Caenorhabditis elegans: one gene and its partner. The protein of the gene in region 1 purifies or fractionates together with the protein of each later gene. This does not show direct contact. Each region holds a gene or a part of one and is shown on either strand. Other genes may lie near its edges.

Region 1 (8,837 bases):
TTTTTTAAAAATTTTCATTATTTTTAATTCTATTAATATTTAATAATTAGGTAATTTTTTTTATTATCGAAAATGTAAAACTTAACATAGAATATTAAAAACATGAAAGAAAAAACCAACTTGTTATTTTTTCACATAACGTAATGGAATTTTAAACAATTCAAAAAAAATTTATAAACCAAAGACATTGTGAGAAAACACCTAGAATATTTAAGTTACAGATGACCATTTTCGGAAAACGGCAGATGGTGTGCAGCGTGCGCGGTTGCGTCGCGGCTCTGTGCACACTAGGAAATGAGAAACAGAGTCTTGAGGACTGTACGGGACCAGTTCAAAACACTAATCTGTCGTCAAACGTTGCGCCGTCTGTGCATTCAGTCACTGAGATGTTTGCGGACTTGGTTGTTTTCCTTCTTTTTTTGCGGTTGTAAAAAACAATGGAACCAAACAAAATGAAATGCCAGGTGTATTTGATTGGAAATCTTTAATAAATTAATACAATAATTTTATTGAACAATATATCATGTATTGTCTATTTTGTTTAGAAGTTTCAGAATGAACCCCAATGCTATAAATTATGTGTTGGGATCTTCTTAAATCTGATCTTAAAAGTTGAAATAAAATTTGTGTAACGTTATTTCATTGTCAGCGACGAACTACTGTTATTTTTCTCGTAATACCTCAATACATAATTAATCAGCAATTAGGGTCTTTTCAAGCATAATGCTATCCATTTTAGGTTTGTATAGCTTCAAGTCACATGAACTTTGGCAAAGAAGTGCACAGAAAAAAATTTTGAAGTTAAGTCGGGATACGAAGGAATCAATGCTAAGTTCGGCAGCTAGTGGAAGTCTCCTGTATGTTACAGATGTCCAGAAATTGCAAGATTGCACAAATGCTCTTGTTGATTTTAACTCCAAAACCAGGAAAATGATAGCTTATCCGTTTCAATTATTTTAGCTTATTCCCTTTTTTTCTGTGGAGGAATTTGAAAAATTTTCAATCAATTTCGGTTTTTTCAGGGTTCCTCCATGAGAATATTATTTTGATGTACATGCATACATCGATTTGTACTCCCAAATGGAAATAAATTGCTTCTCTGATCTGATTGTGAAGTCAAAATGATCAAATTTGAAGCTCCTTACAATTGGCCATCAAAGAAACATTTGCATTATTGTTAGCGATGTTGTAGAAATGTGTAAAATTCCTGAAAAGCGAGTGGAAAAAATCACTTGTAATAATTAAAAACTTCTTGCTAATCGCAATGATCCATTCGGGACGTTATCATCAGACACTTCCTAAATCAATTGGTTGTTGGATGCATATTCATCGTCGTGAAGAACAACCTTGGGGTGCGTACGTGCGCGTTGCGGTCACTACATTCTCTCTTCTCCCTCTCCTCTCTGGTCAACACAAATCGATACGAACATTGAGCGTGTACGTGAAGGGGAATTTGTCGTAAAATAGTGCGCATTGGTGCATTTGGTCGTCTCGGTGATTGCAGTCGTTGCTACTAGGGTTCGATACTACGAGACATTTTTGCATACTAGTTTTGCCATTTTTTTTCTGCAGAAATAGTTTTTGAACTTTGAGAGACACTAAAAGTTTAAAATGTAAACTTTTAAGTCATGAAGTTTTTTTCCACCGTTAGAATTCACTACTTCAAAATTATAAAAACCTTTCTTACTTTCTCTCATCTTTTTTTTCGAGAAAACTTTTCAATTATTCTGATTTTCTGAGAATTTAACATTTATTGAATGAAAGTTTTATTTAGACGTTTTGATTTAACGAAAATAATGTTTTACCATAACTTTGTCAATTTTCACCGTTTTATCGGAAAACCATATAAAGCTCAAATAGCCTCAAACACGGAATGTTTCATTATTGATTAATCATTTTTCATTTTCAGGTAAATCCAATCATCAAAAAACAAGACAAAATGAATGGAGCGTCGAGGGGCGACGTGCAGCGCCCCACTCCAGTTCAAGCTCCGGCAAAGCGACCAATTCCGCCTACAGTTTTCCGATTCGAGAAGGCATCCAAAATCGGGACTTCACTGGATACTACACCCAAAGAACTTCCCATAAGACGTCCCGTTCCACTACCAGGACCGCGTTTCGTGAAAGACGTGGTAAGATTAGTTTTTTTTTTCTCAACTTAAATCTGGCATAATAATTTGAAAAGTAATTTTAATTTTTCCTGCCAAATGAACTAAACTCGTCCCTTTCCGTCGATGAAAAAGTATCAAGAAATGTTGAAATGTTGACAAAAAGTAGGAGATGAGTTACACAGTAAAATTAAAAATACAATGAGATGTCATTTAATGGAGAAACAAATGTTGCTAAAACTCTGATGGTATTTATGAATCTTTTTTCGATGTAATCTCAAAGATAAAACTAACCCTATCTTGATTTCAGAACCCCTCACCTCCAGCTACTTCTTCGCCGAACGTTCAAACACAATGCCACCAACCTCCAGTTGTAAGATCTCAAACTCATCAAGCATCAGTTTCACAAACAACGCCTACTCAAACTACACCCTCTCAATATACTCCAGCTAGCGTTTCTACAGCTCGAGCCCCACAATTCCATAGATCGTCCCATGTTACACCTTCACAACAACAACGAATTGAACAAGCATTTGGCCCAGCTCCGGTTTCTCAATCACAACCACAGAACGGCAGTTATATCCAATATAATGAACCAAGCACATCGGTGGCATCTACGACTACCTCATTTTACAGTCCAAGTGAGTGAAGCTAAGTATATAATTTCAAAATTTTTATTTACAGACGAGTCTGAGCCCGTATTCACGCATGCAATATCTTTTAAACCCAATGAACCCGAGAATGGACAGAAAGCAAGGGAGCAACTAGAGTTGTTAGGTATGGTAAATTTTTGATATGTGTGTAAAGTCTACACTGTAAACATACTTATCTATTCAGATTCTGGAAAAATCAATGAGATTAATCAGTCAAAAGTTCCGACGACAATAGAACTGCCGCCAAACTGCAAGGTTAGGGAGTTTTACATTTGTATGTAGATCTAAAGTCAATTTAAATCTGTTTTCAGCTGTTTCAATATTCATGGGTGCTCGACGGAATACCTAGGACGCTTTTGGTTCCAATGCCAATGGATGCAACGGAAGAAGATGTGAAGGTTGATTATAAATTGTGAAAATATCTCCTACAAACATAGAGTTTCAGGCAATGCTTCCAAAAACGTTGGAAATGGATTCAAATCTTTTTAACAATGCTCGGCCCAGGGATGAACTACCAGTACTATCTTTCCGTAAGTCAGATATTTTTTTTCTTTTCACGGGATAATTTAAATTTACACCCAGAAAAATATATTCCGCAAAACTGCATCGGCAATAAAATTATTTTAAACGGTTCCAATGAATAATACCTTTTTTCAGCAAACGGAACAGTACCCAATGTAGAAATGATTGGTCCAAAAGTGCAACAACCCATGCTGGTCAATCCGAAGCAGTTCAACAGAATTATGCGAAGACGTGAGATGAGGCAACAGCTTGAAGCCAGTGGACGGCTCCCACTTGCTCGCCAGAAGTATCTCCACGAAAGTCGTCATCTTCATGCACTAAAACGCAAGAGAGGGCTTGATGGGCGTTTTGACAATACGAAAAGTAAGCAGATTTTCAAAAAATTGTATTAGTGGAAAGATGTTTTGAACTTGAATGTTTAATTGTTTTTACTTTCCAGCAGCCGAATCGTCATCAATGGTCAGCAGTACAACGTCTCCCAGAAAATTGAAACGCCGGAACCGCTTACCTGGTGAAGAAACTTCTGATTCGTCCTCAATAGTTCTCCCATCGCCAGTTGAAATTCAGTTAGTTTTTCTTATTTAAAATTGTTTCATTTTTCAATATGTGTGAATATTTCAGACCAAAGGGCGGGATAGTCAATTCATCGATGCCGTCGACGTCGACTGGATACATCAATAATGGCATGGATCATCAAACGGATTATATCGAGCATCAGCAACCCATGTCTACCTACGACCAATATCACGACCACGTCCAATATATCGCGCCGGATGGTAATGTGAATTACCACAACAATCATGACAATGGCGTCGATTTAACTGGAAGTGATGGACAAAGTTTCACGAATCTCTAATTTTATTAATAGCTTAATGTGTATTGCAACCGTTGCCAAACAAAATTCACCTCACCAAAATCATTCATGTTCCCTACGCTTTTTGCCACAGAAATGTACCTTCTCTTATTGACCGATCTTTTCTTCGGGATTATGCCCATTTCTCTTTCAATGTTTTCAAATTTTTTATCCTCATTATGCATTTTTTAAATCGTCATGTTGGGTTATGTCAGTCTTCAAACTATCCAATGAAAAGCTACACTTTTTTTAAAAGTATGACAGCAAAACTTCGTGTCATAATTGTCTCAAATATAAATCTGTATTGTTAAAAAGCTTCAAAATGTGCTACCACTCTAATATTGATTGTGTTCATGCAATTTGCAAACGAACATTCCCTTCATGCAAGTAAAAACATTTGAAAATTACAGTTTTAGTGTCAGCTAGCACTTTGCAGGAAACAAGCAAGGGCGGTGCCATGTGGATATAGGATTACGGCTTGATCTACAAAAATCTGACACCACATGTGATGGTAATCATGTAGTTGCTGTTCCCCAAATGCTGTTAATGAATTTATTTTTGAAATGAATAATTGTTCCGAAAATTTATTCACACAAATAATTTTTCCGAAACTTTTTCATTTCTAGGCTCAGAAATCATGATTCCTAGCAAATCTAAAAATAAAAAAAATCAGGTATTAGTTTTTCAATTTTGAAAATGTTGTGATATTTTGTGGTACGCATATTGAACAGGTTCCAATTCAATTCTGCATCCCCGTAAAATTTTTTTACTGCCACTTACTTGGAAAAAAGGGAAAAAAGAATACTAAATTTTCAATTCATCCAACAAAAAAAAAATAAAACTGAATCACAAACTGTAAAAATTTGCAATATCATGTTTGGCCATTCTCGTTGTGTTAGGTGTCATAGTCAGTCCACCAATGCGTTCACATTTGTCGAAATCACAAAGAACGACATCTCAATGTGAATCGTTGTTTTGAACACTTGTGATAAGTTCAATAAACATTTCAATAAGACATGAAAAAATAAACCACATATTATCAAAAAATATCAATCGCACAGGCCACGTGGCTTTTGTTTTTTATTTCTTTTTTATTTACGCTCTTCCCACAACTTTATTTTCAAAGATAATTTAAAAACTGAACTAAAGGTCAGACGTGGGAGGAGCGTAAATAAAAAAGAAATAAAAAACAAAAGCCACGTGGTCTGTGCGATTGTTATTTTTTGATAATAATATAATGTTACTTGAAAACTATTGTTCTAAAACAAATGTGTCTGATACAAAACTGCGAACATATTTTTTGCATAAATCAAACTTATTTAACGCTTTTATGACAATAAAAAATTGCATTGACTCACAAGACAACCCCCCAGTTGTCCCACTTCAATCCACTATAAAATTGTTTCTCTACAAATTTTACAAACATGTTTCAAGTTGTTGGCATTAGAATTTTGGGTAACACTGTTTTGGCACGCCCAAAAAAATGTTCAACCAGTTCCAACTGACAATTTTTCAACATAAAGTATGAATTGTTCAGAAACATAATAACGGCACATCTCACTATTTTTGAAAGCTCACAATGAGTTTGATTATGCATCTGAAAAAATTATATTTCGAGGTTTTTCACATACGCGTTCTAGAAAAACTTGTTTCACGTAATATATCAATTGTTAAAAACGTCATTAATAATCTTTTGATTTCACACATGACTCTCACAATAGGAGCAAAGTTAACACCCCTGACGTTTATTTTTGCAATTTTGGTAGATTTTCATTTGTTGACGTCGCAACTCATTAACTCCTCCTCACGTGTCTCCCCTATCAAGTATGAAAACATCAATTATATTTGTACACTTTTGCAATAAGTGTACCCTCTATGCGTCAAATCCACTAATGAATCTCAATTATCCATTTCGTAACTTAAATTTTTGTTCTTTTGAATTTTACACCTTGGATTTTTTTTAGCTAGTTTCCTTATTTTTGTTTTTTTTTCTCCCTATATTTCAATTTCTTATCCATTTTTTTTATTTTTCTGGCCAGCGTGGACCTTCCTTTTGCTGTGCCTGAATTGTTTCTCTATTTTCTCTATTTTGATTAATTCTTTACATTTTATGACTTGACGTTCAGAACCGATTTGCCCACAGTCTATTCGAAAGTAGTTTCTGCGAAACCACCGAAAGTCTGGTTTCGGAGTGGTTAAATTGCATTTCTGATTTTATGATTCGAGCTTATGTTGAGTATATAAACGTAAAATACCCCCAAACCGTTATTCCACCTTTAAGATCTCGGCTACCTCGGTTTTGCTATTCACCTTCGCAACTTCACACGTGTCTCCCATAGCAACTAAAAAAGCATTAATTAGCTTTCTATATATCTTCGCAACACATTCAGATGTATGTATGCGCTACATCGCCGTATTCTAACTTTTCCGTATGAACCACATGAACCACGTGGTTTATGAATCAAAACATGATTTTGCATCTGTGCCCATTCTCTTAGCTTATTTCCGTCCTGTTTTGTTGTTCCTTGATCTAAATGTTTCTTTTTCAGTTAATCATGGACCCTGAATTCTTAGACTCACAATCAGATGAATCATCCGACGACTCGTACGATCCCAGTTACAATCCAAAGCTAGGGAGCGGATTTTTATCTGTCACTAAAATTAGTGAGAAAATGAGAAAATCGCAATTAAAAGAGCGTCGACTCAGGAAGCAATCCAAAGTATCAAAATGTGCAAAGAAACTCAAGAGAAAGGTGCCAACCAGACAAATCGTTACAAATAAACCAGAAAATCTATATAAAGTGAGTTACCTTATTGGTTTTTATAATTTCTATAGACCACATAAGGAGAAAAAAATTTGCCATTGCTGCAAGTTTTATTCGTCACTTACTGAATTTTAGGGTATGACTATTTCGGTGTGATTTAGTAACAAAACTTCGCCATTAGTTAATTTCTTCTTCATACAATTTTGTAGTAGAGAGTGAATGAATTGCAAGATCTTTTTAGCTAGGTATATGGGATTCATTCAGGAACATCGTCAGGGTCCAAATACAAGAAGCAATGAGTTGTCAAATCAGGAAAGCCTTCCAATCGTGGGAACTTACAGCCAAAATATGAGCGAGACCACTGTGGAGCCCTTATTTCAAGCATCCAAGGATTTGCATATTGACGCTTCCGATGGTAAACTCAACTGTAAAAATATTTTTCACAAGATAGATTGTTCAGCAATGGACACAAACGAAGACATGTCTACTTTTGCCAGCGAAGAAATCAACGTAACTTTAGGATCAGATGAAGAGAAAAAACAAAATAGTACTGTAAGTGAATTTTTATTATGCTTTGGAGTTATACTTATTTGAAAAAGTAGCGAAATCATCAAAAAAAACTAAAAGTGGATATCTTTTTGGCCAGCACTGTATGTTTTTTTTTGAAATAAGAATTTTATTAAAAAGTTTTGGCACACTTGTTTTATGCTTATAGTTTGAAAGTTTCTGACGTTTTTGGTTTTCTTTCCTCTTTAACTGCATTGTCCATTTTAACAATCGTGACAAAGTTGTTGAACTAGTTATATTTATTATTTTTGAATATTTTTAGGAATATATGAATTCTGAAAATCAAACGCAAAGTTAGACATTTATTTTTTGCACAATACGCGTGTAGTCTTCTCACATAGAGCTATGAAAAAGTCATTAATTCAACTTGGATTATTAGATTAGTTTCTGCAAAATAAATTTCTATAATATGTTGCACTAACAAACTAGATAAAAATTGCGTTTTGAACGTTTGCTGCTCATAAATAGTTTAACAATCTGATCAATCTAATATTTGAATAAAAGACAATAACGGTTACAAAGAAAATCTGACATTCTTAGAAAAATAAACAAGTTATGTAATCCGAGACACGGCTTGTTATAGAGAGATTTTATAAGATCTGAAAATTAAAAACAGGTCTTATTCTGAAAAAAAAACACATTCATACTTGATAATACAATTTAACAACATTACAATCTTTAATAGGGACGGGGTGATACCGACAGTGGTACTTCAAATGCTAACATCATCGGAATCGATTTTGAGAAAGAAGGGCATCAAAATTCAAATAGTGCATCAGTAGCGAAACCTATCCGTAAGTCATGTTTTCATTTTTACAAAACAATTGCAAACTTTCAGATAAAGTTATATTCTCTCCGGCCATAATGCCACCTGAACACCCTACCAGTGTTGTAATACCGCAAAACAAGTACTACCGAATCATTCGAATCAGTTGTTGATAACGTGTCAAAATGTCAAGTTGGTCAGAGACAATTTAAGTTTTTATTCAAGATCAAGACATCAGACGCTTCACGGCCTTTCCACGTGCAAGTTGTCAAAAATACTAAAAACTCAAACGGCCATAACATTTCATCCTCGAATACACACAACATTGAAGCAACTCCGAAAATTGAATTATCATCATGCGCTCAATCAAAAATCATCAAGAGCCAATCTAGTATCTCCCAAGATGGTTTCAATTGCTCTTGCAACCCCTCAAACGCCATGCTTAACCAGTCTTGTACATCCTGCATTCAACAAGACAAAATCGCAGAAATGAGCACTCAAAAATTTCAACCAAAAAATATTGCTGGTTGTGAATTGGATATCCAACCACTTGTTTCGGCAGAAGCATCACATAGAAGCCTGTTTATTTTTGAAAACTCTACGG
Region 2 (12,521 bases), on another chromosome or scaffold:
GTACTCCTCTCGGACAATTAATAAATTGTTTAATTTTGGATGTTTGTAGAGGTTTTTCGTGTTTTCTCATGATTTTACGGGAATCCTTTTGATTTTTTTGGTTAAAAACAAATTATTGGTGGTCTATGAATGCATTTTTCACTGTAAAATAGTGGAAACCGCCGTTATCCTCTTGAGAAAGTTCTAAAGTTCCATAAATTGTTCAGTTTCGCGGTTTTTCATTGAATAATTTGTAATTATTGTTTTTCGAACGTACAATTATCAAAAGAAAATCACGAAAAATCGCCAAATATTCCAAAATTCGATCGAATGGAGGTTTATTCTTCATTCCCTTCAAAATAGATTTATAATAATCTCTTGTTCGAACACTCCCTCTTCCCGCAGCGAAAGTGTAATAAAATGTCCAATAATCTAGCTAGATCTAGTTCAATAACTCATCAATTATATTGCCCTTTGATGTAGTTTTATAATGTCATAAAGTGCACACTTCTAAGAGTGGGCAGCTAAAAAATGCACTTGTTGCTCTTTTTTTCGCACCCTTCATACTTTTTTGGATCGATTTCTTTCATTTGATATTCATAATGACCTAATGTTTCCGCTGTACACTGTATCTGCACTCACGTGATGGGTCTCGCCACGGTAATAATATTACAAAATGATTTTGCCTATGCGTCTTTGAGTTTACTGTAGAAAATTAGTAATACATTTTTCAGCTCTACTTCTTTCTTCGCAGATTATTTTTCTGTGAGAACAAGAATACACAATTTATCCATTTCCATTCAATGAAAATGTATGACAGCGTGATTTCGATAAATCAACAATTGAATCCTTTTTCTTTAAACTTATAACTTCAATTGACATATTTTTAATTTCATTGTAAAACTTGGAATATAATTTCGTTGGTTTCAGTCTCTCATCCGTTCCAAATTATAATTCCAAACTCTCGAACGCGGAGACATGCGCACGCTCCTCTTCCTTTCCCTCGAGTAGGCGTCGCTCCTTCTCTTTTATTGATTTGTCGTGCTCTCCGCTCTTGTTTGAACGCGACCAATATGACTCATTTTTTTAATATTTAAAGTTTTTAAGCACATGCATAGTGCATTGCTCGCTTTCTACCTCTACGCGTTGTTCATGGCTCTAAAAACAAAGAGCGTACATTTTTTGAAATTCTATTTAAATAAATAAAATTATTATTGAGAATTCATCCGAAATATCTGTGAAATATCAAGCCAAACATATTTTTTATAATCCTAAAGTTAATAAAATTAAAATAAAGTATAGTCATTTTGTAAATTTGCTCAAAATGACAGAAAATGGACCGTAATAACCAAATATAGATGTTAAACATGCATAGAACTTTTCTAAATTTTTTTTTTAATTTTGCAAAAAGGTTCTTACGGTACATTTTTAATCAACCATTAAGTTTTACAAATCTTCATAGGTATAATTTTTTAATGAACAAATTGTTTGACTGGCAATAACCACGCATTCCTTCATTCGATTCCTTATCGAACCAGCCGTCTGTCTGAATATGATGTGAATTTCTTTTTTATTCTGCGTCTCCTCAATTGACATACTCTCTACTCAGTTTCCCAGAACGAAGTCTCTCTCATCTGACATTATATCTTTTTTGCGCTGTTCGTTTCACATTTTTCTTTCTCTCTCTCTCTCTGATTGGCGATTTCGAGATAAATCGATAATCTCGATCTTTGCTAAACTATTTTAAAACACAAAAAATCATTGCAGGGTATGACTCCGGCGACGGCAGAGGTGAAAGTTGGAGGGAGAAAACGGAAGAATGGTTAGTTGGAGAATAGGACATTTACTGGAATTTACAAAAATCAAATTCTTAAAATCAATTTTTAATTAATTTTGAAACATAAATCCCAATCGCGCCGAGACCCGCGTATTCTAACACAACGCTCACCTTTAAAAATAGTTAATTTTTTATTCGAGAAACTCGGCCTGAAACTTTTTATTTAACTTCTTGTTTAAATTGTAATTTAAACTATTATAATTAAAGTTTTTCCTGTTTTCTTAATTTTTCCACCAGTGAAAATTATTTTCGGCAATTCTACAAAATTACCTATTGTGCCATTTTGTTCCATCATATTTTATTACAAAACAGTGTCAAAAAATAGAAAATTACTTGAATTATCTAAAAATAACATTTATTTAAGCTGAAAAAATTTGAAAAATTGTTCAAAAATGGCTTGAAATTCGATGTTTCGTTTAATCAGCAATTGGCAACTCTCAGGCCATTTTTGAACACTTTCCCAAAATTTTATGCTAAAATAAATGAAATAAATGTTATTTTCAGATCAATAAAGTAATTGTCTATAGTTTGAAATTAATTTTTTTTCTGTCAAATTATAGTAATTTTTAGCATTTTTGAATTAATACTTTAAGCTTATTTTTGCAGATGAGCCGGTTTTTATCAAGACAAAACAATCGAGGTCAGCTCGTCGAGAAGAAGAAAAAGAAAATCTTTTGAACAAATCTCTTCCGTCAACTCCAACTTCATCAGAGGCCGGAAGTTCTCGGGAATCTTCAAATCCAGTCACAAGCTCCAGTAGACGAAAGAATCCACCTACCAAATTAGAAAATATTCAAAAAACGTTGCCGACTTGCAGTGACGGACGTTAGTTTTAAAAATCATTAATTAAAATCTCAATTTTTCTATTAATTCACATTTTTTCAGTTGAAATTCGCAATTATGTGAAAAAATATGGATTGCCGGAAGATAACAAGTTTCTCGTTCGTAATGTCTTCGACAAACAATTATTATTTGGAAAGAAATATGTGTGTAGAAGGCGTGTGATTAAAAGCATCGATGAATTTTTCCCGCGACTAAAGACCGATGCGGTTTGTTTGAATTTTTGATGGATTCATTTGCAAAATAAATTTTTCTTTCAGCACAGAGAAAATGGTTTATATAATTTCTGTACTCTACAATTCATGAAAATATCCTCCTGGGGAAGTTCGATGGATGAGAAGATTTGTTAGTTTATTTTTGAAAATTTTGAAAAATTTGAAACGAAATCTCGATAAAAACACTTAATTCGAAAAAGACCAACAGAAAATCACTTTGAACTAAAAATATCTATTCAATATTGATTGAAACCATATTTCACAAGAAATAAAAGTCTTTTTGAAATTTGGTTTTAAAAAAAATTATTTTTTTAATTAAAAAAGTCAAAAAAAATTGAAAAGTTCTGATTTGCATTATAAAACAAAAAATGAATTAAACTCAATAAATATATAGCCAGAAAACGCGAAAATGTCGGAATTCGCTTTTTTTTTCAGTTTTTGCAATTTCCTAAAATCACACAAAATTTATAAAAATTATTTTTTTCCTATAGTTTAAAGCAAATTTAATGATTTTGAAATGTTTGAGGTTTTTTTTCAAAAAGTAAGAACAATATTTCCAAAAAAATGAAATTATTTTCTAATTGTAAATTAAGATTCAAAAATACACACACACATAGTTTTTTTCGGTTTTAAAATTATTTTCTCATTAATTCATTAAAAAAAAGAACATTTTCAGATGTTACTTCTGCTGCAATTGTTCAAAGCTACGTGATAATTGTCGACGATAATGATTCAGTCACCTGCATTGAAAATGGAATCTCAGTTATTCCAATGGCGAATAGAACGTTACCATCTATCTCCTATAACAGTTCAAATGTAAAAAATATCACTTTGACGGGCCCTGAACTGAAAAAGGCAAAAAACGTATATCTCGCAGTGATTGTGAAACGAAAAACACCAAAACTTGGAGAAAATCGAGTTGGGACAAGTGAGTGAAATCATTTCTTTTTTTTAAATAAAAAGTTTCTTTTGTAGGAGGAAAATCAACTCGAGCATCATTCGAAACGGCTGCTTCCTCAGAAAACTTTCAGCAACTTGTTCGTTTTGGGTGCACTTTGATGTATGATAAGGATGCTGAAATTAACTGCCTAAATGACGGAGTTCAACGTATTATCTTACTGTAAGTCGCTTTAAAATTATAAATGCAAAAATTTAAAAACTTAAAAATTCAAAAAAAATTAAAATACTTTAAAAGTTTTTTTTTCCAAAATTTATCCGAAGGTGAATCTATAAAATTAAACTGGCCTGCTAATTTTTTAAAAAGGGGGTTTTCTGAAGATTTTGAGCGAAAACTGTTGTCAAAATAAATAAAAAACTGAAAAACATTTTTTTTCGAGAAACACGCGCTCAAATTGACGGGTATACGGTAGAAAATATTTTTTCAAAAAAAATTGTATAATGAAAAATATTGCTCTTGATTTTTCCAGTGATCGAGAAGAAAAGCCAGCGTATTTGAAAATTTTCGGGAAGGCCGATGAACCGGAACTCGAGAATGCTTGGATGAATAATGTTAAGCATTTGGAGTTTATAAGCGATACAAATTATAACAAAGAGGTAACGATGAAGAGTTAATAAACTTTTATAAATAATTGATTTTTTTCTACAGGATTCTCATCTCGCTCGTCTAATCTTCTCTTCAAATACTCATAATTATTTCGATAGACCGGACATTTCAAAATTCTCTCCATGGCAGCCGCGATCCAGAAGGACGACACTAAAATCTGGGTGAGAAATTCGATTTTTTCTCTTTTTTTAATTTTGTTTTTATCTGGTTTTTGCACGACCGTAATCCCGCACGCTTATTGTGTTTTCCATCATTTTCAGAATCTCCGTCGAGCCAGGAACGAGTTGCGATGAGGATTGTGGATCGCAATATGAAGAGTTCGTTTTTGATCCCTACCACCTGATTTTTTGTTTGAATATCTAATTTTTAAATCACTAAGTTTGCTGGATTTTTTCCCTTACAGAATTTCTAATTTCGGGTGCATTTCTTCTTTTTTCTTAGTTGGCTGTAATTGATACCTTCCAAATAGCTTGTCGTGATTTTTGAAAACCGTGAAGCTGCATTTCAGAATTTTTGAGTTAAAACTGGGGGGTTTTGTCCAAAATTACAGAAGGCAATCTGCATACACCGGATAGAACTTCAAAAAAAATCATCTAAATTTTATAGTTAATCACTCACTACATTGGATATTCGCGGAACTTCATGTTTCTATCCAACCATAGATCATCTAACTGTTCTTCAAAATTGTTTAGAAAATATAATTACAGTACAATCACTCTCAAGCAGTTACTCCTTGGAACGAAAAAGCTATGCGGAAGACGTAAGAGACATTTGACCCGACTCACTTCAAGATGGCCGTGTTTTTCAGTCGATCCGACGAAGGTAATTCTTAAAAAACTATAATTTCAAAGCTTAAGTGCAATTATTTCAGATCAATTCATATTTCAATGAAACTGGTGTCACTTTGCTGGAAAATTCGTGTTCCTACCGTCCTGGAACTCAACGAAGCATTCCAATAAAACCTACCCGAGTGATCAGAGTTAGAGAAGAAACTCCAGTTTCCGTTCCAATTGAGGTTATTACGATTGAAGATGATTCAGATGATTCACCATGTTTTTCTGCGAGAAATCGAGCACCAGGTGGAACACGGAAATATGGATTAGATTTTATACAATCTTCGGGTCATATGCCATATATTCGTTATGTTTATATGAACAGGTAATTTGATTTAATGCAATCCAGTAAAAAAATATATGATTTGCAGAGCAAATGACTTAGTGCCCCAGCTGAATGGCGAAGAAAATGGAAAAATCGAAGGTCTTATGGAAGCATATCCGATGAATAATGCTCACATGTATTCAGATATTGAGTTCCTGAGAAAAGAAAAAGTAAGAATTGTTTTTAAAAAAAAGACATAAAAGTTGTAATAATTTTCGCTTTTTTCACTAAAATCGAAAATGGAATTTTTTGTTTCGATTTACTGATTTTTGCAAAAATAAAACAAAACTTTAAGATTTTTCTTTTTTCCGATATTTCGAAAAAATTGCATAATTTGTTTTCTTTTTAGAAGCAATTTGTATGTATTTCTGAAAAAGCGAACAAAATTGTTTCCTGAAGGCGAAATCTATTTTTCCCTCAAAAACCCAAAAAAAAAAAAAAAAGTGAGAAAGGAAAAATTGAGAACCTTTCATTATATTTTTTGAATTTTTTGAATTGACTCCAAAAACAGGAAAAAAAAAACAAAAAATCCCAGCCTTGATTACGATATTAAAAATTTTCTATTGTGACATGTTGCTCCAACAATTTGTATTTAAAATTAATGTCAAAATATAGAAAAACACTCGAATTATCTGGAAATAACATTTATTCTGGCTGAAAATTTTGAAAAAGTACTCAAAAAATGTCCTGGAAGTTGCTGATTGCCAATTATCGAATTATTGAATTTCAGGTAATTTTGAACACTTTCTCGAATGTTTTAGTTGAAAAAAAGTTATTTTCAGATAATTCTAGTGATTCCTGCACTGAACACTAAAAAAAACTTGTCGCCGCAAACAAAAAAAATTAAAGCAAAATTACAAATTTCAGTTGAATCTTCCGAAGAATGCTCAAAAATATGGCGAAATGACAATTCTTGACTATCCACTAACGAAGACGGAAACGGACGAATATAATAAAAAGATGTCTGTGATGAATGTCAAAGATTTTGCGGTTAAACCCAGAAAACCTATTCCAACAGTCGGAAATACCACTTTAAGTTTGGATTTGGAAGGATGTCCTATATCGACATTTTCAGAAATATTCTTCCCAAGTGGAAAAACTGAACTATTCAATATTCTATGCAGACAGTAAGTGTTATAATATTAAGTCATATATTAAAACCCAATTTTTGAAGTTTCTACTCTGAAGCTGGACAACGCCCTGGATGCTTCTCAGCACAATGGAAATCTAGAGTTTTGGTGAGTTTATTGAACATTCAGGACTAGATTGGCAAACGTACGGAATTGCTTAGTACAGTATTTTTGAATCAAAACCTTTAAACTTCTTTTCAACGAAAATGAAAATTATTTTCAGAGTCTTTGATTCTACAAAAAATGAATTAGCGTACTAAAATAAGCATCTCAACACTTTTGCCAAGATTTGCCTTAACTTAGAACGCATTTTTGAATTTTTCATAAATAATTTTCAGACTGGCTTCATCAACAAATACCATCAGTACATTTTCGACATGAAATTGAATTCTTTATTCGAGAAACAAATAAATCTCATCGCTATGGTCAGCCCTGACTGGAAATTAGAAGATTTTGAATTGCCCATGGTTCGATATAAGCAATTGAAAAAAGAATGGAAAAATCGCCAACGAGATATACCATCTTCTAATTAGATTATCCCCTTTTTTCCTTGTATCTTTTTCTTTTTGGAAATCCTGTGTTTAATCTCTTTTCCATTTATCAATCAACTATACCAAATCGTGGTGGGTGGCAATTCTACTAAATGACATTAAAAATTAGTCTGAAAACATAGAAAATAATTTGATTCTTCTGCAAATAACATTTGTTTCAGTTGAAACACTTGAAAAAATGATTAAAAATTACCTGGAAGTTGGAAATTGTCGAATTTTGCTATTCGGCAATTGGAAACTTTCAGACTATTTTTGTGCAATTTTCAAATCTTTCAGCTGAAATAAATGTTATTTTCATATTTTTAAATAAATTAATTTTCTATTTTGAGACTAATTTTTAATGAACAATATTGGCCAATTTATGGAATTGCCAAAAGTAATTTCCACCCACCGCTGATCCCAAAAATACTACAATTTTTAGCACCTTTTGACCCAAAGAACGTCGTACTTCAATGATCTTCCAGATTACACGAGTCATCACTAAGTTTTTCTTCATTTCTTTTTCTTTCATTTAAGTTTTTTTCTATCCATTTTATAAGTTCTTTCCTTGATTGTTCTCTGCTCTACAACTCTTCTTTCTACTCACACTCCATGGATGTTGTGAAGCTTCTGTTATTTTGGAAATTTTATAATTTTACACAACTATTTGTACTATCCACTTTCAAGTTTTAATATTATCATTTTATCTCTCTGTTTTTTTAATCAATATTTTGACAAAAAATTTCATTTGCCAAAATTTTTTGTAACAATCAACTATATCATTAATGCCACACCTATAAAATGCTTAAACATATGTCCGGATTTATTGGGAAGTTAAGAAATAATTGTCGTATGGTCAGAAGTTTAAAATATACCTCAAGCTTTAAAAAATCGGTTATAACTCCAATCAAGGATGCCATGGAAAATTTTTGGCACTCGTCGTATTTCCGAATTTTCGACAATTCGACAAAAAAAAGGCATTTTTTGAAAATCTTAAACTCAAAATCTCCAACTTTTCCAAACTACAGTAATCCTACAGTAACCCTACATTGTGGTCTACCGCTGCTCCAAATTGTCAAAAACATTAAAATTCAATCATTTAGAAAACACTAAAAAAATGTCGCACTATGGCGGAAATCCACGTGGAAACTCATCACACCAGTTTGGACGAAAAGATTTCCAACAATCAGATTCTAAACACATTCCGAAGATAACTGGTCAGCCGCTACCTAGTGAGTTTGTAAACTCTTGAAAACTTTTAAAAAATGAATAATGTTTCAGATGAAGTACAAATTCCGTTTGACAATATGATTTACGAGACAAGAAATCCACCGAAATTCGAGAAACAAGCAAAGTTCATCTCAGAGTACTGTATCAATTATGACAGGTTTCCGATATTATAGAGATTTTGAAAACTTGATAATTTTCAGGAAGCTTCAACTTGGAAGAATGCGAGCCAAAAAGTTCCATGATAAACTTCCTCCAAACAATTTGTCGCTGGATCTAGGAAAAGGTTTTGAAACTTTTGATCCAAAAGAAGGAGATGAAAAGATTATAATGCTTCTTGAATGGATTAATCAAATGGCTCCAGAAGGTGGAAGACTTAAGAAAGTTATTCACGAGGCTGATGTAGTATGCTGGAGAGGATTGATTACAAAGATATGTTCAACAATTTACAATAAAGAAGAAGGATGGAGAATAGACGCGATTAAACGAAAAGGCGTCATTTTTCTGTGTGAAGAGAAGACAGAGCAGGCCAAAAATAGGTAAGAATTTGTGTTTTCTTTGAATATTCAATAGTAACATTATTTAAGAGATCTCAATCAAACCGACTTGGACAAAAGAATGAGCTACTGGGGACACAAGTTCGAGCAATATGTTACGCTCGACGATGATGCGGTACGTATTATTGGGACGCAGAAAAATGTATATGCGTCTTCATAATAAATCAAGAAGAAATCCAACTTCAAATAATTTTTAATCCATTTAACTTCCAGGAACAACCAGACACTTCAAGTCCAGTGACAACGAAAGAAGAGTATGCAGTTGTATTTCGGAATGATCTTCAAACTGATCAACGTCTTAATCCTGAAAAAAGGTCAATTGGGATATTCTATTCGGGAGAAGTTGATTGTCTGGATAGACACGGAAATATGCTCGAGCTAAAAACTCAGAAAGGCGAGCTCGGTCATGGATTCTACAAATACTCAAAATCCTTCAAATGGTGGCTTCAATCATCATTGGTCAACGTCGATCACATCATCGTCGGACTTCGAACACAGGAAGGCCACGTCAAATCGTTGACGTCACTGCGTACCCGAGAGATCCCACAGCGAGCCTCATGGAATTTCAGAGCCGGCTTCGAGTTTCTCTCCACAATTTTCACTTATATTCTTAACTGCCTTGAGAAGGACGGAGATGCGTGTGTTATAGAATATCGCAGTGAGATGGGTATTCATAAAGGAATTCAAATGAGAAGAGTACCGGTAGATGAATTCGATTTTGTGCCGAATGAGTTCCTCGAAAAGTTTTGTTGATAAATATTTTTATTGTTGTATAATTCTATTTATATGAACTGTTTTTGAGAAATTCTTTATTCAGACACCAGACTTTCAATAATCCATCACAGCGATTTCGGTCGATCCCATTTTTTTCTCAGGTGTACACGAGCGATCTCTTTTCTTTCTTCTTTCAGTCTCCAGAGTTAATTGACTTTTACTGGAAATTCAAATTTAATTATATTTATTTAATTATAATTATTACTTTATAAAGTTGATTCTCCCAGACGCGAAATTGTACAATTTTTACTTTAAAAATACGGTACCTGGTCTCGACACGACAATCTAATTTAATTTAAAACGGGCGCCTTTAAAGACGCACGCCCTTTTCCTCTTAACATAAATTTGTTGCTGCGAGACCGGGTCTTGTAGTTTTGTGATAAAAATCGAAACATTTCGCATCTGAGTATTAGATTATTTCTTACCAAGATCTCATCAAAAACACATAGAAACAAAAGATGCCGAGAACAATTTTCCAAAGAGTCACTACAAGAGCGACAATGAACAGATAAAATACTGAAAAAAAAGGTTTTTTCTTGTTAAAGTCTAAAAATGATTCTCTTCTCACCACAATTCTCATATTTCTTATCGATGCCAAGTGAAGGCAAACGTTGAAGCAAATAGATTGTGTCCATGAAAGTCAACGACTCGAGCCCAATGGTTATTCCTGAGAAAACCGTCAGTACAATGTAGATGATTCGGACCGATTTGAAAATTAGAACAAATGCGAGCAAACCAGCAAAGATCTGAAAAAATTGGATTTTAGTTTTTGGAATCAGGGCGGAGCTGACATCAACAGCTGCGAAACATCTTCTCGTTATGATTGCGACTTCCCGGGTTCTGAAAAATGTTCAAACTTTCAAAAAGTTTCAAAAATCCAACTCACTCGAAATTAGAAGTGGCAGCATAAAATTGAGCAATTCCGAAGAGAATGCAAAAGACGCAATACAGGCCTTCAGGCCACAGTCCGAATCGATCCCTCTTCTGGTTCGGACCAATATTGTGCTCATCGACAATCTCGAGAACAGACACATTTGAATTTTCATGCTTCGTTTCCTTATTTGAACTTGAATTTGAATCCTTCTTCATCGATTTCTTAGAATTCATTTTTTCGTCTTTTTAACGACGAAAATGAGGGAATGAATACATCTCAATTTTTAATTATTTTCAATTGAAATTTTACTTTAAAAAAAACGTGGAACGGGTTATTCGATTTGAAAATTTATTTTTCTTTAAAATTTATCCACGATTTTCTGTTTTAGAATCCAGTTGTCGTAATTCTAAATAATTTGAAATAAAGCTGAAATCACTTCCCACAGTAGGTAGGCATGTGAGCTAATTGTAGGTACTAGGCATGCCCTTTGCAAAGACAGGCATGCAGACACTTTGTCATCAGGCAGGCACGTAGGCAGCCAAGGAATTATGATGTGAGCAGATCCACGTTAGCTTGAAAATGTGTCTGCCTACCAAAAACAGACGCTCAACAATTCTAGGAAAAACAATTCTTGCATTTCTTCCTTGAAAAATATGACAAATTAAACGCCGCCTGGTCTCGATTCGGAAGATCCGGGTTTCTGGTCACAGATGGTTTCAGGTTTCAGTGGAGACATACAGGCATAAATTAGGCACGCAGGTGGCCAGGTAGGCCTGCCTGCCTATCTACACGTAGATTATTTCATACTGACCAGTTTCCTATCAAATTCATAGTTTGTATTTCTTGAACGTGAACTTTTTCCCTCCCCCCCCCCGCAATTTCAATTGTCCACGTATTCCAAATTGCAAGTCCAGAAAGAAAAAAATGTTTATCATCAATACCGCCCGAATCATTCCGTCCTTCATCGACAACTTCCATCTCTATCATAGCATTTTGAGTAAGTTATTTCTCCATCATTAACACTTCTCAACAAAATCATCATCAGGAAAAGAACATGTCACTCACAAAAGATGGTTCCGTAGCTGTGACCATTCTCCAAGCAATCATCTTCATTCAATTCGGCTTGTGCGTTGCGATCACAATTCTGACAACCGTCGGAATCTCATTTGGGTATCCGGTGGCTTCTCATTACCTTATGGCTCTTCTTCAGGCATTGGTGGCAATTCCGGGAATTGTGTACATTGTGACACAGACAAACAGTTAGTTTTGCTTCTATTGAGTTGTCAACTGCATGGAAGGCACCTCCACGTGGAGATCGGAAAATTATGATTTTTCTGTAAAATACTCAGAATATGCCAGAATTTCTTCCAAATTGACAAATGCGAGACCAATCAGTAGAAGTGTACAAAGTTCGATGTCGTTGATTGGCTCGAAAGAGGGTGTGGCATCTCATTTAGGAGGAAATTCAATTTTTAGACATTTTCATTGCGTGATATTTCAACATATTGAAATGTTCTGTCTATTTTAAAGAAAAATATTCATTTTTGGAACTAACAGAAATGTCTTCGGCAACTTTTGCAAAAAATCGCTTGTAATATTTCAGTCTGGGTGGCAGTCTACATCAGCTTCCAAGTGGTAACCGCCGCGTGTGAAGTCTACTGGCTCGTCTACTTGATCTTCGACAATCAACCCGCTGGATCTTGGATCGCACTTGCAATTATCACAGCCGTCAACATTTTGGCAGCTGTTGTCGGTGTGTGGTTCCGCAAAACTGCTTTGAACCTTCCATGCCTTGATAAGAAAACGAAAAAGGCTGGTGATGCGAAGAAGGAGAAG

What was found.
Region 2: the proteins of nfya-1 (region 1) and mes-3 purify together in Caenorhabditis elegans (affinity purification with western blotting, with the first as the bait; one study listed by BioGRID). This does not show direct contact.

What each region holds. Positions count from the first base shown.
Region 1 is NC_003284.9:11,939,905-11,948,741, reverse strand, and holds nfya-1 (Nuclear transcription factor Y subunit nfya-1), read left to right. Parts: upstream 1-1,903; 5' UTR 1,904-1,939; coding exon 1,940-2,131; intron 2,132-2,417; coding exon 2,418-2,748; intron 2,749-2,791; coding exon 2,792-2,884; intron 2,885-2,944; coding exon 2,945-3,015; intron 3,016-3,071; coding exon 3,072-3,158; intron 3,159-3,205; coding exon 3,206-3,290; intron 3,291-3,417; coding exon 3,418-3,645; intron 3,646-3,721; coding exon 3,722-3,848; intron 3,849-3,903; coding exon 3,904-4,138; 3' UTR 4,139-4,457; downstream 4,458-8,837. Other genes in the region: F55G7.3 (BLVR domain-containing protein), read left to right, coding at 6,691-6,936, 7,165-7,315, 7,361-7,452, 8,153-8,261, 8,306-8,406. UniProt on the Caenorhabditis elegans protein: Component of the sequence-specific heterotrimeric transcription factor (nfya-1-NF-Y) which specifically recognizes a 5'-CCAAT-3' box motif found in the promoters of its target genes to regulate their expression and control cellular identity in particular tissue types.
Region 2 is NC_003279.8:4,995,095-5,007,615, forward strand, and holds mes-3 (Polycomb protein mes-3), read left to right. Parts: upstream 1-1,744; 5' UTR 1,745-1,749; coding exon 1,750-1,801; intron 1,802-2,422; coding exon 2,423-2,641; intron 2,642-2,701; coding exon 2,702-2,865; intron 2,866-2,916; coding exon 2,917-3,001; intron 3,002-3,547; coding exon 3,548-3,799; intron 3,800-3,846; coding exon 3,847-3,991; intron 3,992-4,298; coding exon 4,299-4,425; intron 4,426-4,477; coding exon 4,478-4,596; intron 4,597-4,695; coding exon 4,696-4,752; intron 4,753-5,142; coding exon 5,143-5,257; intron 5,258-5,306; coding exon 5,307-5,593; intron 5,594-5,639; coding exon 5,640-5,763; intron 5,764-6,460; coding exon 6,461-6,720; intron 6,721-6,767; coding exon 6,768-6,831; intron 6,832-7,061; coding exon 7,062-7,256; 3' UTR 7,257-8,108; downstream 8,109-12,521. Other genes in the region: Decapping nuclease dom-3, read left to right, coding at 8,371-8,485, 8,535-8,640, 8,684-9,019, 9,068-9,152, 9,251-9,790; F54C1.8 (uncharacterized protein), read right to left, coding at 9,866-9,971, 10,237-10,327, 10,380-10,557, 10,603-10,651, 10,698-10,918; sst-20 (Sperm Specific Transcript), read left to right, coding at 11,740-11,944, 12,289-12,521. UniProt on the Caenorhabditis elegans protein: Component of a Polycomb group (PcG) complex. PcG proteins act by forming multiprotein complexes, which are required to maintain the transcriptionally repressive state of homeotic genes throughout development.